Lytechinus pictus: one gene and its partner. The protein of the gene in region 2 binds, or shares a complex with, the protein of the main gene of each other region. Links are inferred from orthologs where the notes say so. Each region holds a gene or a part of one and is shown on either strand. Other genes may lie near its edges.

Region 1 (7,533 bases), on a different chromosome or scaffold from region 2:
ACGCTTCACAATTTTGCGTGTCATCCTTGCACAAGGGCCATTCTAATCTTCCTTGCTTTTTATTATTTCATACTTAACAATGTATAAAAAATCGAGTGAGACTTCAAAGATCCTGAAATTTCATGAAATAAAAGACTTTACACAGTCAAGTTCATGTTGATGAAATTCGTTTTCTTTCTACTTTTCATCGATTTGTACTCTTGGTAATCTTCGTGAAAATTGTTACGTTATTGGGATTGTTATCATTATTGTTTACTATGATTATAGTGATATTGATAATGAAATTATAACGTGCACTATCACAATCCTCTCCCTCTTTTCTTCAATATCATACCATAATTATCATCACCGCCTCTCATATTGCAAATGACTGCAGGAACTCAAGTTGCATAGCGCTATCTCTCGTTGATAACGTTATAAAAATCTTATTTCTAAATAATGACTTGTTTGAAATAAGATGAACATCTCTAAAATGAATAGCTAATCCATATCTAATCACTTCTGATCTATCGATTTTAGCACACTTGTTAAATTTTATTTGTTTATTTATTTATTTTATTTATTTTGTTTTATTTATTTTATACTGCAGGGTAGGCCTGTTCAGTTCTTAAAACTGCTTTACAAAGGCGCCCTGCAGTTTAAAATACATGTCAAGATAACTATGAACAACAACAACAAACAACATCAAAAATACAAAATACAAAATATCTAACATCAGAAACAATTAACACCAAAATATAGAGTGGGAAGTGACAATTTAAACATACATAGCATTGTAAATCAAAGGAATATCATTTCGCTCTTTATCAATTCGTATGAAAGGCTTTGCATAATTTTTTTAAAAACTAACAAGGAGGTACAAACTTGTAAATTTGAAGGAAGTGCATTAAATAATTTGGGTCCGACATATGCGAAAGATTTTCTTTTATGTTCAATTCTAGCTTTGGGAAGCTGAAGGGGGCATCGTAAAGAATACCGTGTCCTGTATTTCACGGGCCGTTTACATACTAAAGGTTTTAAATAATTTGGAACTAAATCATTCATTATTTTATATACAAGAACACAATACTGATATTTTATACGCTGATCTACTGATTGCCACTTCAGTGACTGCAACAAAGAAATTTGTGATGTATTATAATCTTTTTTCAAAAGCATTCTGGCATATTTATTTTGAAGTTTTTGTATCTTATCTAAATGTATTTTTGCACTGCTTCCCCAAGATGTAATACAGTAATCAATGTAAGGTAAAACCATAGAAAAGTACAGCTTCTTCATAATATCAAAGGACAGTAAGTGCTTAATCCGCCTTCCACAACCTATATTGCCCGAGATATTTTACAAACGATATTAGTAATATGTTCGCACCAAGTCAAGCCCGGATCGAGCATGACACCTAAGTATTTAATCTTTTTTACATTTTCTAATTGTATGTTTCTGAATTTCACTGACAAATGAGCACCCCTCAACTTTTTCTTTTGACCAAATACCATGGCTTTTGTTTTTTGCGGGTGTAAATGCATATTATTTAAGTCTAGCCAAGTCTAATCCAAAGATGATATAGCGCCATCTGTATAAACATTAAGCAGTAGATAATATTTGTTTCCTTTCATTTAAATCTATCACAAAGGGAATATGGTTTACTAAATTTCACCTTATTTGTTTCATTTTCGCAAGTTAACATTTCATTTCGTTTATTTCCATTTTCAACAATTACAGTTTATTTTGTACATTTTGACATACAAATAACGAAACATATTTCAAGTATCCCAGTACAAAAATTATATTCAATTTCATTACATATCAAGTTGGAAATGGAGGAGGCTGCTAAAAAGCGGAGCTCGTAGAGTGCAGCCTCCTAATAAATATTTTTCTAGTTACATAGCATCATCAAAATAACAACTTGAGCATTAACCAGTTAAATTAAAAAGAAATAGGGGGAAATTAAAATAGAAAAGGAAATAAGAAAAAGAGATATTAAAGGTCTCCAGAATCCAGCATCAACAGGAAAACGAAAGAGATGGAAAAGTGTACGTCACACGATAATCATGTTTGATTAAAAAAATACAAGAGTTTGAGTGATGAAGAGTTAATTCAATGGTTATCTTGGATAATTTTTTAGAACTTATATTTGAAAGAATTTAGGCTTGGTGATTCTTTGATGTTATTATTAATAGTTCCCCAGAGTCTAGGGCCTTCAAAAGTAAAAATTGATTTTGCAAGGATGGTCCGGGGTAGTGGTAAATGGAATTCATCTGATTGACGTGTGGGATATTTGTGAAGAGTTTTGCTAAATGAAGAATTAGATATGGGTGGTAACATATTATTGTTTAACTGATACATGAATTAGTGAATTGTCGGATGATCTAATACTATACATGGTCTACTTATCAGTTCGTCCAACTTCACATAGTCTAAACTCATTTCGTCTACAACCAGTTCGTCTAATTCCCACTTGGTCTAATATCCAATTCGTCTAATTTCCATTTGGGCTAATAACCAGTTGGGCTAATTTCCACTTGGTCTAATATCCAATTCGTCTAATTCCCACTTGGTCTAATATCCAATTCGTCTAATGAGCAGTTGGGCTAAAACCATTTAGTCTAATTTCCAGTTGGTCTAGCACCACTTGGTCTAATTTCCACTTCGGCTAATTTACACTTGGTCTAATTATCATTTTGTCTAATTGCCACATGGTCTAATGACCGTTTGGTCTAATTTCCACTTGGTGTAATTTCCATTTAGTCTAATTTCCACTTGGTCTAATATCCAATTCGTCTAATTCCCACTTAATCTAATAGCCAAATGGTCTAATGACCACTTGGTCTAATCGCCAATTGGTCTAATGACCAGTTGGGCTAATCGTCACTTGGTCTAATTTTCATTTGGTCTAATTCACACTTGGTCTATAATGTCCATTTATTATAATATAGCATCATTCATTATTATTCATTCTATCTAGAATTAGCAAATATGGTACGTAATGGATAAATACCATCCATCAGTTAATACATATCGCCAGGATCCGGAGGGGTAGAGCCGGGGTAGGGCTGGTGGGTGCAAAACCTCACCGTGAAGGACTATCAATGATGAGATAGTCGCTCATCAAAGGAATTATTCTAATCAAATAATTCTTATAATTAGGCCTGTATATCGATTATAAGATGATGAAAATTAAATCATACTCATAATCATTACATCACCGCATGCACATTTACAGAACAATAAGTTGGGGACCTTGTAGCTTATAATGGTCGAATGGCGGGGTTTCATCAGAATAAAATTATTATGAAGAAAGGAACGAAAATATAATGTAATTGATTGTGTGGATACGTATCTGGTAAACATGTTTATGCCTCTTTTAAATCATTGTGATGCACCATTACGGACGATACTTGAACTTGATGGCCTATAGTTATGCAGTTTGGGGGATTCCAAAACTACAAAGCCATTAGATCATGTAATTTTGTATCATGTAAATCTTTAATCTCTTTACAATAGGCCTACATGTACCGGTATATTAATAGTCATCTAAGACGAAGGAGAAGTTGTACACTATGCTGGTTAAGCCTCATCTTAACTACTGTATATGCGTCTTCAGTTTGGGATCCTTACACAACTACAAACATAACAAATCTCGAAAGGGTCCAGAATGCAGCAGCTAGGTTCACCACCAACACTTATGGGCAAGACTCAAGTGTTACTGCTCTGAAGGACTCCTTGGGTTGGATCCCCCTCCAAGAGGAAAGACAGGGTTCCCGAATCACCAGTTCATTCAAGATGATCCATGGTTTAATGGACGTCAACTGCAAGGAATACATCTCTCTGAAGGAAAATCGAGCAAGACGGGGTCATGATCAACAATTCTACATCAAACATGTCAGAACAGATACACATGCAAACTAATTTTTTTCCGAGGACTGTCAAAGACTGGAACCATCTCCCCTCCTCAGTTATATCCCAACCATCCTTAGGAACCTTTAAGCCAGCACTCCAAAAAACCTTGAAAACCGGAACCTTAAGTTGGTGACCGTACACGACACACCTCCAGTTTAAACACCTTTATGGCGTCTTTTGGAGGATTCCTACCAAGTACCAAGTATATGATCTATGTATGCAATACCAGTACTTAGCGTCTTATTAGCAGGTTACCCTTCTCAGTTTGTGTGTACATGTGTGTGTTTTTAGGGAGGGGCAGTACGGGCCTGGGAACCACAAAAAAAAGAAAAAGGTTTCACTACAAAACCCTAAAAAATAACCCAAATAAGGTCTCGTTATGGTCCCAAGAAATTTGACAAGCAAAAAAAAAAAGAAAAAGAAAAAGAAAAAAAAAGGGGGGGGGGGTCACTAAAAATAGGTCCTTTAGGTTGAATTCACAAATTTTCCACATTTACTAGAATTCCAGGGGGTGCTGCATTTAGGAATTAGATAGTTTTCGCATTTATAACGGGGAAACTCTCTACAACGCATAGATTCCTTTGAAAATGCAATTAAAATCACAATGGAGAGCTTCTATATAGGCATTTGTGGAAAGTTGGTGGACTGGGACATGACAGCAGATATGCCGATCATCCGAAGATTTGCGCACCGGACCAACAATTGCAAATTTGTCGTTGATAAGATATTTCGGCGCGCTTCCAAAATACAAAAGGAGAAAAGCTGTTTTGTCATAATGGGAGTAACGTGGTATGTTTTTTGTTGTTGCAATCTTAATAGTTCAAATGAGCCATTGATATTGGGCATGCCTGATATTGCTTTCAACTATCATTTTCACTTTATGAAAGAATTGTGATTAGACCTATCACCTGTAGATGCCCAAGCGGCAAGGACAGGTAGGCCTAGTCGATCGTACGACGTATATTTTGGGTCAGTGTCGCTAAACTAACTTACATGTGCCCATATACTGAATTTCGTGATGTGTGACTGTTAGTGTTGGCGTTGACAGAGCTGAGACTGTCATAGACAGCTGGCAGCCGTCTGTTTCGAGGAGTTTTTTAACTTTTTTTTGTTTGGTGAGTGAAGCCAACGGAGTTCAGCTGAACAACCAACATAACAGAGACCGAAGCTTTAAAGTTTTGGTCTAAGACTGTCACTGCATGTGTCATAGAAGCCATAGAAGTCGTGTGTTGTGGACACCAGAAGTGAGATCCTCGCACTCGCGACCCACTAGTCAGAAATCCACTGCCAAACGCGGTTCATGGTGCGAGGTACTAACCTCGCAATATGTGTGAGTGTCACTGTGTCAGTGTCGCTTTACTTGCTGCATGGTTTTCTTGTGACATCTTCATTAAATTTTAGTGATAGTTATCGTACATCAAGATTTCTTTAATTTTTCAGAGCAATTATGGCCTTATCCTGAAATAAGTCGCCTCTATTCTCGTATGTGTGCGCAGGTTGTGTACAATTTCTACGAAGGTCGAAGTAAAACTCAAGACAAAGTCAAGACAATTGGAGATGAAACTTAAAAGAAGTCACCGCCATTGACGAAATGAACGGCAGTGAATGGAGTGGACTGGTGACTTAAACCAGGATAATGCCGCAATTATCTTATTCATTGGCCAATAATAAGCTTTATCGTGAAAATTTTCAGGCTCTCTTCTCGACCTCGTGTGTCGGTGTGTGTGCACTCGTTGTGCACAAAGACAATGGGAGTGGAATGAAGTCGCCAGCGCTGACGAAATAAATGGCAGTGAATCATGGACTGGTGACTTAAACCAGGATAATGTCATGGAAGTCTATAATATTTTGATTACATCTAGACCTCATTGTTTCAAAATTTGATGTCAAAACTGGTGATTTAATTCTATTCCAAACTGGCTTCAAGACTCTTGACTTTTAATCAACTCATTCATCATGTTCATTGTTTAATATAAATCCTTTGGCTTTGTCACTTTTATCTCCATGTAAGCACGACTTTAATCTAAGCCCATAATTCATTTCAATTTAGAATTTTCTCTTCAATAGAATAATTTATTAATTATTGTACCAAGTAAAATAATGTGCTATCTTCTTGACCATTTTTCTTGGCTTTTTTTTAGAAAACAATGACAATGTTTTTGCCTCTTTCCATCACTTTAAAAAGAAAAAGAAATGCCCTTTAGAATAAATTTTGTGTAATTTTCAAAGACAGTGTATGACATTTTTTCTTCCTCTACATGTGCTAGTTTGGTAATGAATCAATCGATCAATGACTAATATCATAGTGGTGTTGTGGCTCAGTGAATAAGCCTCCGGACTTGGACCCACAAGGTCTGGGGTTCGAATCCCACGGCAGGACTCTCGTCCTTTGGCAAGGCGTTACGTACATTTGCATCTTTCCAACCAGGTGTATAGCAGTGTATCCTATTGCCAGACACCTTTATTTCAGTGCTTTAAACATGACAACTAGAGGAAATACAATCAGGAAAAATTTGCACTTGCTTTTCCAAATATGGAAATTATGAATATGTTAAAATTATTTTATATTTACCAACCGTTTTCTTTGCATCGCACTTACCGCATACCCCTCCACGAAAAACAATTTTTGTGCGTTACAAATTACATCATATTCCGGAAACGCGCTGATGGGTAAAGATATTCTTGATTATAATGATGTAAGAAAGAATTGGTGTGAATTTTTCTTCATATATCATATCATTAGTAAATTCTTATTTGTTCGCTTTTTTATATTGAATCTCAGCAGATGTTAGTAAACAATACGTGTTTGCTAACTAATTTTATTTTGTTGTCTTTTTAACTGCATGTTCCATGCCCCCATGGCACTTTCCAATGTTATGCTCGTTCTTATCGTGACGCTCATCAAGTTCTATTGATGCGCTGATGATTGTCGACGGCTCTTATCATGGTAAACCTCGCTCACGGGTACCTTGAGAACTAGCCGTCGACGATCACCCACAATGTATACATGCCACACCTCAACATTCGATCGAAGGAGCGGACGTGATTGAAATTCGGCAATTCAGGCCCATATTACCATCAGAAAATCTATCAATTGTTAATGCAAAACTATGTCATATGATATTTTAAGCATTTTCTCTCATTTTAGAGTTAAATACCGGTAAGGTAAAAGCTGGATATATTCGCCTTGTTTTTGCAATCTTGTTCTATGTATTCTGTGAAATTGAACTGCGGAAGTCCTAGGTACAAAGTTGTTTTCATATGCACTAATATGCACGTCCAGAATCATGAAAGTGTCCAGTAATACGATACATGACTATAGTACGTGGGTAGGTAGTAGAAAGAAATTCCTTGAATGCTTGAGCGCTTGATACGAGTAGCCGTGCTAATTCGGGTAATAGTATAACAAACTTAGAAACATTGTATTATTAAGTGCTAGAAATGTTGCATAGATTATTATTATTGTGAATTTTAAGAAAGTTTGTACAGTAGTAGACTATTTACAGAATCCTGAGGTCATTGTGGTTTCCTAAAAGGACAAGTCCACCCCAACAAAAAGTTGATTTGAATAAAAAGAGACAAATCTAACAAGTATAACACTGAAAATGTCATCAAAATCGGATGTAAAATTAGAAA
Region 2 (7,257 bases):
ATGTAATAAAATGCATTATGAGATTCATAATTATATGATGAGCATATTTAAACAGTTATCAATAAAAAATTAAATCAACCAAATATTACGTTCGAACAGGAACTCCAAGATGAAGGTTTTCTATGTCTTCCTCGCTCTCGCGGTCGTCGTCGCCTCCGTTGTCGCCATGGAGGAGGAGGAGAACGAGCTCTTCGATCTGATGGACAAGCGATCGATGGAGGAAGGAGATCTCTTGGAAGAGATGGCCTATGGAAGCGAGCCAATGGTGAAGAGAGGACGATTCAAATGTGAGTAAAAAATAAAATAATAGGATACATAGTAAAAACTTTGTTTAATTTTTTTAATGCATTTTTGTTTACTATCAACCTTACAGTATATGTTGTTTAAACAGTTTTTTTTAACTGTTGTAGTTCTGTTCAATTACTGCAACATGCCGTTTTGATATTTTTTCAAATTTCATTTTTATAATTTAATTTACAATTCCTACACTCGTTTGATATATAATGCATTTTGTTTATAATTTCAGACTGCAAGAATTCCAACGGTGATAACTGTGTCTGTGATCGCAAGTACAGACGTAACAGTAGAAGACGTTATGTCAACTGCAGACCAGCCAACACAGGAACACCCGTTTAAAATTCAAACAACAGACAGGCACCTTTGTATTATGGATGGATAATTAATTCAGATGAGGTATGAAAAAAACATTGTACTAATTTAATTGCCTGAAAATAGGGGGAAATAAAGGCATTTCAGTCGTTGTAGTTGTTAACCATGCATCCAACTTAAAATCCAAACAATATAGACGAAGCATCTCAGTTCGGACTTATTTCTACAGAGATATATTCATGTTTAAAGGACAAGTCCACCCCAAAAAAAAGTTGATTTGAATAAAAAGAGAAAAATTCAACAAGTACAACAGTGAAAATTTCATCAAAATCGGATGTAAAATAAGAAAGTTATAACACTTTAAAGTTTCGCTTAATTTCACAAAACAGTTATATGCACAACTCAGTGACATGCAAATGAGAGAGTCGATGATGTCCATCACTCACTTTTATTTTGTTTTTTATTGTTTGAATTATACATTACTTCAATGTTTACCAATTTCACATAAAGGACCAACTTAACAGAACCATAAGATGTAGTAGCAATGGTAATACCACATGTTCAGGGAGGAATAAAACTTCATTTCGCAAGACAATGAGGAGAATATTAGAATAATTCATATTTCATATTTTTTTTCAGTTCAGTTCAGTTCATTTATTCATTTCTAAAAAATTCAACGAGTACAGATATATATACATAAAAATCAACTTTTTGCTGGGATGGACTTGTCCTTTAATGTGTAATGCCATTTTTTTTTGTCTGTGAATCAAAATGATGATTCACAATTTGTACACTGTTGTTTATTCTAAGTAACTGTTCTGCAATTGCAAGGGATGCATGCTATGCAATTTTGTTTATTACTTTTTCTGTAGAAATGATTAAAAGAATTCGAATTTAAATTCAAAATCATTCATTATATTTACCTTTATATAAGTATAATATTATATCTGATTTTGTGTTGCAATAAATATGGTCATGTTTACTTTTTTTAATAAATTATAGAGCATTCTATCCGGCGGTTTCATTATACTTGAGGTTGCATGGTTCCAAGTCCAGTCGAGTCACACAAAATGTTATGGAAAATAAAATTTTCTCCAAAATAAGATAACTAACCAATCCCGGACTTCCCTCCTATTTTAGCTAAATACTGATTTTGCACTCTGCAAATAAATTTATGATAACAAGATATTATTACTCTCTTAAGTATATACTGTTTCTAATCTTTTGCTGTACGTTGCACATGAATTGACGACGAGCTTGTTTTGTTCTTTGTTTACAGTCCACAACTCTCCTCAAGAAATCTATACTGGTCGTCAAACATCATCTCATTGTTCTCCAGGCAAGCCAGTGAGCAAATTTCGCAGAAAAGATGGAAAACAACATTTTTACTGTTGATGTACAATAAACACCCTGCTCAAGTCATCTCATGTGCACCTAGAGTGTCAATATTTCAGTATTTTGTGTAATATGATGAGTAAAGAGGATGAGGGGGAGATCGATAGATAGATAGAAAAAGAGGGAGAGAGGGGGAGGGAGAGGGAGAGAGAGAGAGAGGGGGGGGGGGGGCTCTCGAGAGAATATGTGCCGTGATAAAATTATCTTCGGAAAGAACTAAAGATGTCAAAACGGTGTTGAAAAATAATTACGCCAATAAGACATTACCTCCTCTTTCCAAATTTAATTGACCCTTAAATTATTAATTCCATGTGGAGCTTGTTCGGTTAGAGTGAGTATTTTCACTATTTGGGTGGAAATCTGTCATATTCATAATTTTGTTTAAAATAAGTTTCAAGATTTTAGCTAATATCTCAAGTTTCAAAAATTGTATTTTGATATGTAACTCATAATGCGAACGTATCGCGAGCTAATTTCTTTTTTATTGTTGCAAGCATAGTACAACACGGAGCTCACAATATTCATGATATTGGGCTAAAAAATCTAATTATGATCTGTAAATGGAATATTCCATTTGATGACATAATGATCGATGTGGGAATATTGTAGAAATTTATGAATACGACATGGATTTCACTAAAGTCTAAACAAATAATACGAGCAAGAAGATATTTAAACTAACCCCAGTAATTTGAGGGGGCATATAGGCCCTATGGGCCCTATGCTAAAGTAAGCCGGTAAGTCATATATATATAGAGCTTATATCCCTATAGTACAGTATCTCATCACTAAAATGATAGATATGCCAGCGCGAAGCCGCGGTTTCTATATCATGAACAGAACACATTTGTCACAAAGAAATCATTATGCATGCATGAGAACGCGAGCGTGCGAGGTGAAATTTTTATTAACTGCATGATCTGAAAATGGGATGTAAACAATGTTGAACATGAACTAAAAATGTGATGCGAGCACGTCGACTTTTCTCATAATAAACCCGACAGGGGAGCATTTTATTAATTATTAAGAGAGCAATGCTAGTTTGTTAAGAAAATCAAGCCAAAAAAGCAAAAAAACCCGTTTCATTCTAATATGAAAATGATTTTGGTCAGAAAAAATTGACTAGTAAAAAAGGTTTTCTCTCCAAAATGAAGGCTGCTTCGGCAGCTTCAGCACCCCCACTTCCCAGGGCAATGAGCCGTGGCCCTCCGATCAGAATTATCGAAGCCACATTGCTTTCTGCAAACATGTCTGATCAGGGGCCCGTTGCCAGCTAGGAGATTTAATATAACAATTAGAAAAATATCATTAAAAAATACACATGTTTTGAAAGTTATTCAAATCAATATGAATAATAATATTTTTTTTTACATTCCCCCTCTATTAAAAATTCATGACATCATAACAAAGGTATAAGTACATTTGAACTTAATATTTTCATAAATTTTACATTGTCATAGGTTATTTTTTTCATAAAAGAAATGTATATACTTAAATGAATAATAAACGGGCCCGGTTTATTAATTATACAGTGCGTCCCACAAAAAACGAAACCGAGATTTATTCAATGATTTATGGCCTACCATTGTAAAGCTTAGAATTTCCTCTTTCATCTGGAATTACTTAGATTATTTAGATTATTATGAAATTATGGAAATACTAGCATTGTTTCGAGAAAACATAACTTTTTTACTTCTGAATCATTTTTGTGAATAAGGTATCAAAAAAAAAGAGCAGATATTGAACTTTTTAGGCATGTGATTTTCTTTTTGAAATTCAGATACCCCCCGCCAAATGAGTTGTTGGTATCCTTTCTTCAAATTGTTTTTGCTCACTCATGCGTGAATGAGGAATAATGTAAATAATATCAGATGAAAGAGGAGATTCTAAGCTGCTATGCTTTACATTGATAGGTCATTTGTCTATTGCAGGGGCCGCAGAACCGGGGGGGGGCTTCACCCCCCCCCCACTTTTTTCCAAACCGTGTACAAAAATGTAAAAATGACCATATGATTGTGATTTTTAGCATGGTCAGCCCCCCCCCCCACTTTTGGCTCAGCCCCCCCCCCCCCCCCACTTTGAAAACCGTTCCGCGGCCCCTGTATTGTATTTATGATTAAGTTATGATAAATCATCGCTAAATCTCGGTTTCGTTTTTTGTGGGACGCACTGTATATAGGCACTATCAATAACCATTAATTAATGGTTCTGTCTCCAATAATGTTACAGCGCCCTCTCTTGTTTTCTAGGCAGACCAAATTGGTGAAAAAGAAAAGATGTCGCTTTTCAAGCGAAGTCCCTCCGACTCTTCTTCAAACTACGGAGGCATTCCTCCAAAAATGCCGACACCGATTCGTCAGAGATCTCCAATGCCAACGAAACAATTCCTGAGTCCACCTAGCGTTGATCCAGAACCGTTTTATCTGCTGAAAGACCCACCACTATCCAATGGTAAGTCGGAAAAAAAATAAACAGACCCACCCGTATAAAATGATGTTATGTTGTAGCCTAACTAGACAACTTGAAGTTGTATGGCAGTGTATCCTATTGCCGGACACCTTTATTTCAGTGCTTTAAAAATGACAACTAGAGGAAATACAATCAAGAAAAAATCACATTTGCTATTCCAAATATTATGAAAATTATGAATATGATAAAATTATTTTATATTTACCAACCATTTTCTTTGCATCGCAGTTGCCGCATACCCCTCCACGAAAAACAATTATTTTCGTGCGCGACAAATTACATCATGATTCCGGACGCGTGCCGGACGGGTAAAGATATCTTTGATTATAATGATGTAAGAACAAATTTGTGTGATTTTTTTCTTCTTATATCATATGAGTAAATTCTAAGTTTTTATTTGCTTTTTATATCGAATCTGAGCAGATGTTGGTAATAAATTCGTGTTTGATAACTTATTTTATTTTTTCTTGTTAGCTGCATGTTCCATGGCACTTTCCAATAATATATGCTCGCGTTCGTATCGTGACGCTCGTCAAGTTCTATCGATGCGCTGCCGATCGACGGCTCTACTCACGGTAAACCTCGCGCACGGGTACCTTGAGAACTAGCCGTCGACGGTCACCCACAATATACCACACCTCATCATTCGATCGAAGGAGTGGACGAGATTGAAATTCGGCAAATCAGGCCCATATTTCCGTTAGAAAATATGTCAATCGTTAATGTAAAACTATGTTATATGCACTTGTTCACTGCAACCATCCTGCCTGTGGAGAATCTACAGGTAGGACTATGGCATGCCAATGCTGTACACAGCACACACTTTAAAAAATGATTAAAATATCACTTTTGTGACCAAAATTACTAATTTCCATACAGTTGCAATTTATTTTTCATTAGTAACTTGGGAATAATTTTTGTATTCACTAGAGCGCTCAAAAACTTGAATTTTGGGCATATTTTTGTGTACGCCCTCTATTGATAGAAAATAATATGGCAAGAAAATTTTCATTTTTTAATCTCTATTTTTAATTAAGAAAAAATAATTTAAAGAATCAAATTTACTTAAGGGCCAAGTTGTATGACGAATAACTGTGATGGAAACTGTCAGTGTAAAAAAAATCAAGCATTTTTCCCAAAGAAAAAGAGAAAATAAGCCAAACATTGCCATCCTTATTTTGCCACACATGGAGATATAACTGAGAACAAGGTTATATCATAACCTTGTTCATTGAATGAGTGGTTATATGATATTTTAAGCATTTTCTGTCATTTTAGAGATAATAAGGTAAAAGTTGGATTTTTTTCGCCTTGTTTTTGCAATCTTGTTCCATGTATTGCTCTGTGAAATTGAATTGCGGAAGTCATACGGTATGAAATTGTTTTCGAACGCAGTAATATGCGCGTCCGGAATCATAATGTGTCCGGTAATACAATACGTGACTATATGATGGGGTGTCCAAACTTCGCGGACTTTTCAAAAATATTCTTCAGGCTTAATTTTGTTCACAAAATATTCACAATTTATACAAAACCAATTCAAGAAATAGTTGACGGCAGGATCATTAATTATAAAATCATTGATGAAAATGTGAAGTAGGTCAAGACAAGGGCAGGCCAAGCAAGGCCGGGTTTCGCCGGTATCGCGATTTCTCAAAATTCCATTCCCATCGACGAATGTGCGCTGTGCTGGAAAACCGCTGACGACAAAATGCCATAGAATCAGTCACTACCACATTTAACTCACATTTTTGATAATATCTGCTTGCAAAATGATGATATCGTGATGCTTGTTGAGAATATCAGATTTTTTCGGAACGGGCGCTAACGGTGACAAATTTGCCGATCTTTTGTCAATATTTTCATGAATACTGAACTCATCCTAAAAAAAATTACGCCACAGGGTAATTTTAAGTCGCTTTTCACGTTGATGATGTCAGATTTTAAGAATATTGTCTAGTTTTCTAGATAATGACCGTCCGCGAAGTATGGACACACGCAAAGTTTGGACTCACTGCCATACGTTGTCGTTGTAGACAGTATGAAGAAGAGGGGGGGTCACCCCACTCACACTAGTACGAGGTTAGTTACCTCAAGCGATGTTCCTGCAGGCTCCACTTCACTACCGCTACACTTACCCGAACATCGAGCCCGTGAACTCGCTCTGATATTCCGAGTGACCGTTTGCGTTTGACAAAGTCAAAGGTGGGATTTTATGGGGGGAAAATATAAAATTCATGCAACATCACGATCTTTAAAAACAATTAAAACTAATATTCTTACTTTACAAAAAGTTTCACTGCTTTTCCATGCTTCTATCAGTCTCAAAATTGGTGATCTAGAGCCAACATAGAGTTCCTCACACGTATTAATAATTCGCTGCCGATTTCAAGACATCGCATGCGCGTGCGTGAGGGTCTGAGCTCGGACCCTCGCTCATGCGCATGCCAGGAAGCCTATTGATTTGGAGGTCAAAAGGTCAAAGATCAAGGTCACAGTGACATGTTTTCATCTTACCCTTCTGAAGTCCTTGTAAACGCGATAACTTCAGTTGAACTTAACCTAGGCTCATATAATTTGGTGTGTATGATACTAGGATGGATCCCAGGAAGCCTATTGATGTTGAGGTCAAATGTCAAGATCACAGTGACATATTTTCATCCTCCCCTCCTGCAGTCCTTGTAAACGTGATAACTTCAGTTGAACTTAACCTAGGCTCATATAATTTGGTTTGTATATTAGCATGGATCCCAGGAAGCCTCTTGATTTTGAGGTCAAAAGGTC

Evidence for each region. The genes of interacting proteins can lie anywhere in the genome.
Region 1: mediator of RNA polymerase II transcription subunit 19-like (region 2) and mediator of RNA polymerase II transcription subunit 20-like share a complex: the UniProt entries of both Drosophila melanogaster proteins name them as parts of the mediator complex. The link is inferred for Lytechinus pictus from reciprocal best matches to the Drosophila melanogaster genes MED19 and MED20.

Annotation. Positions count from the first base shown.
Region 1 is NC_087247.1:67,256,381-67,263,913, reverse strand, and holds the start of mediator of RNA polymerase II transcription subunit 20-like, read left to right. Parts: upstream 1-4,527; 5' UTR 4,528-4,549; coding exon 4,550-4,686; exon of another isoform or gene 4,687-5,096; coding exon of another isoform or gene 5,097-5,227; intron 5,228-7,533. UniProt on the Drosophila melanogaster protein: Component of the Mediator complex, a coactivator involved in the regulated transcription of nearly all RNA polymerase II-dependent genes.
Region 2 is NC_087246.1:20,716,647-20,723,903, forward strand, and holds the start of mediator of RNA polymerase II transcription subunit 19-like, read left to right. Parts: upstream 1-4,234; 5' UTR 4,235-4,280; coding exon 4,281-4,455; intron 4,456-7,257. UniProt on the Drosophila melanogaster protein: Component of the Mediator complex, a coactivator involved in the regulated transcription of nearly all RNA polymerase II-dependent genes.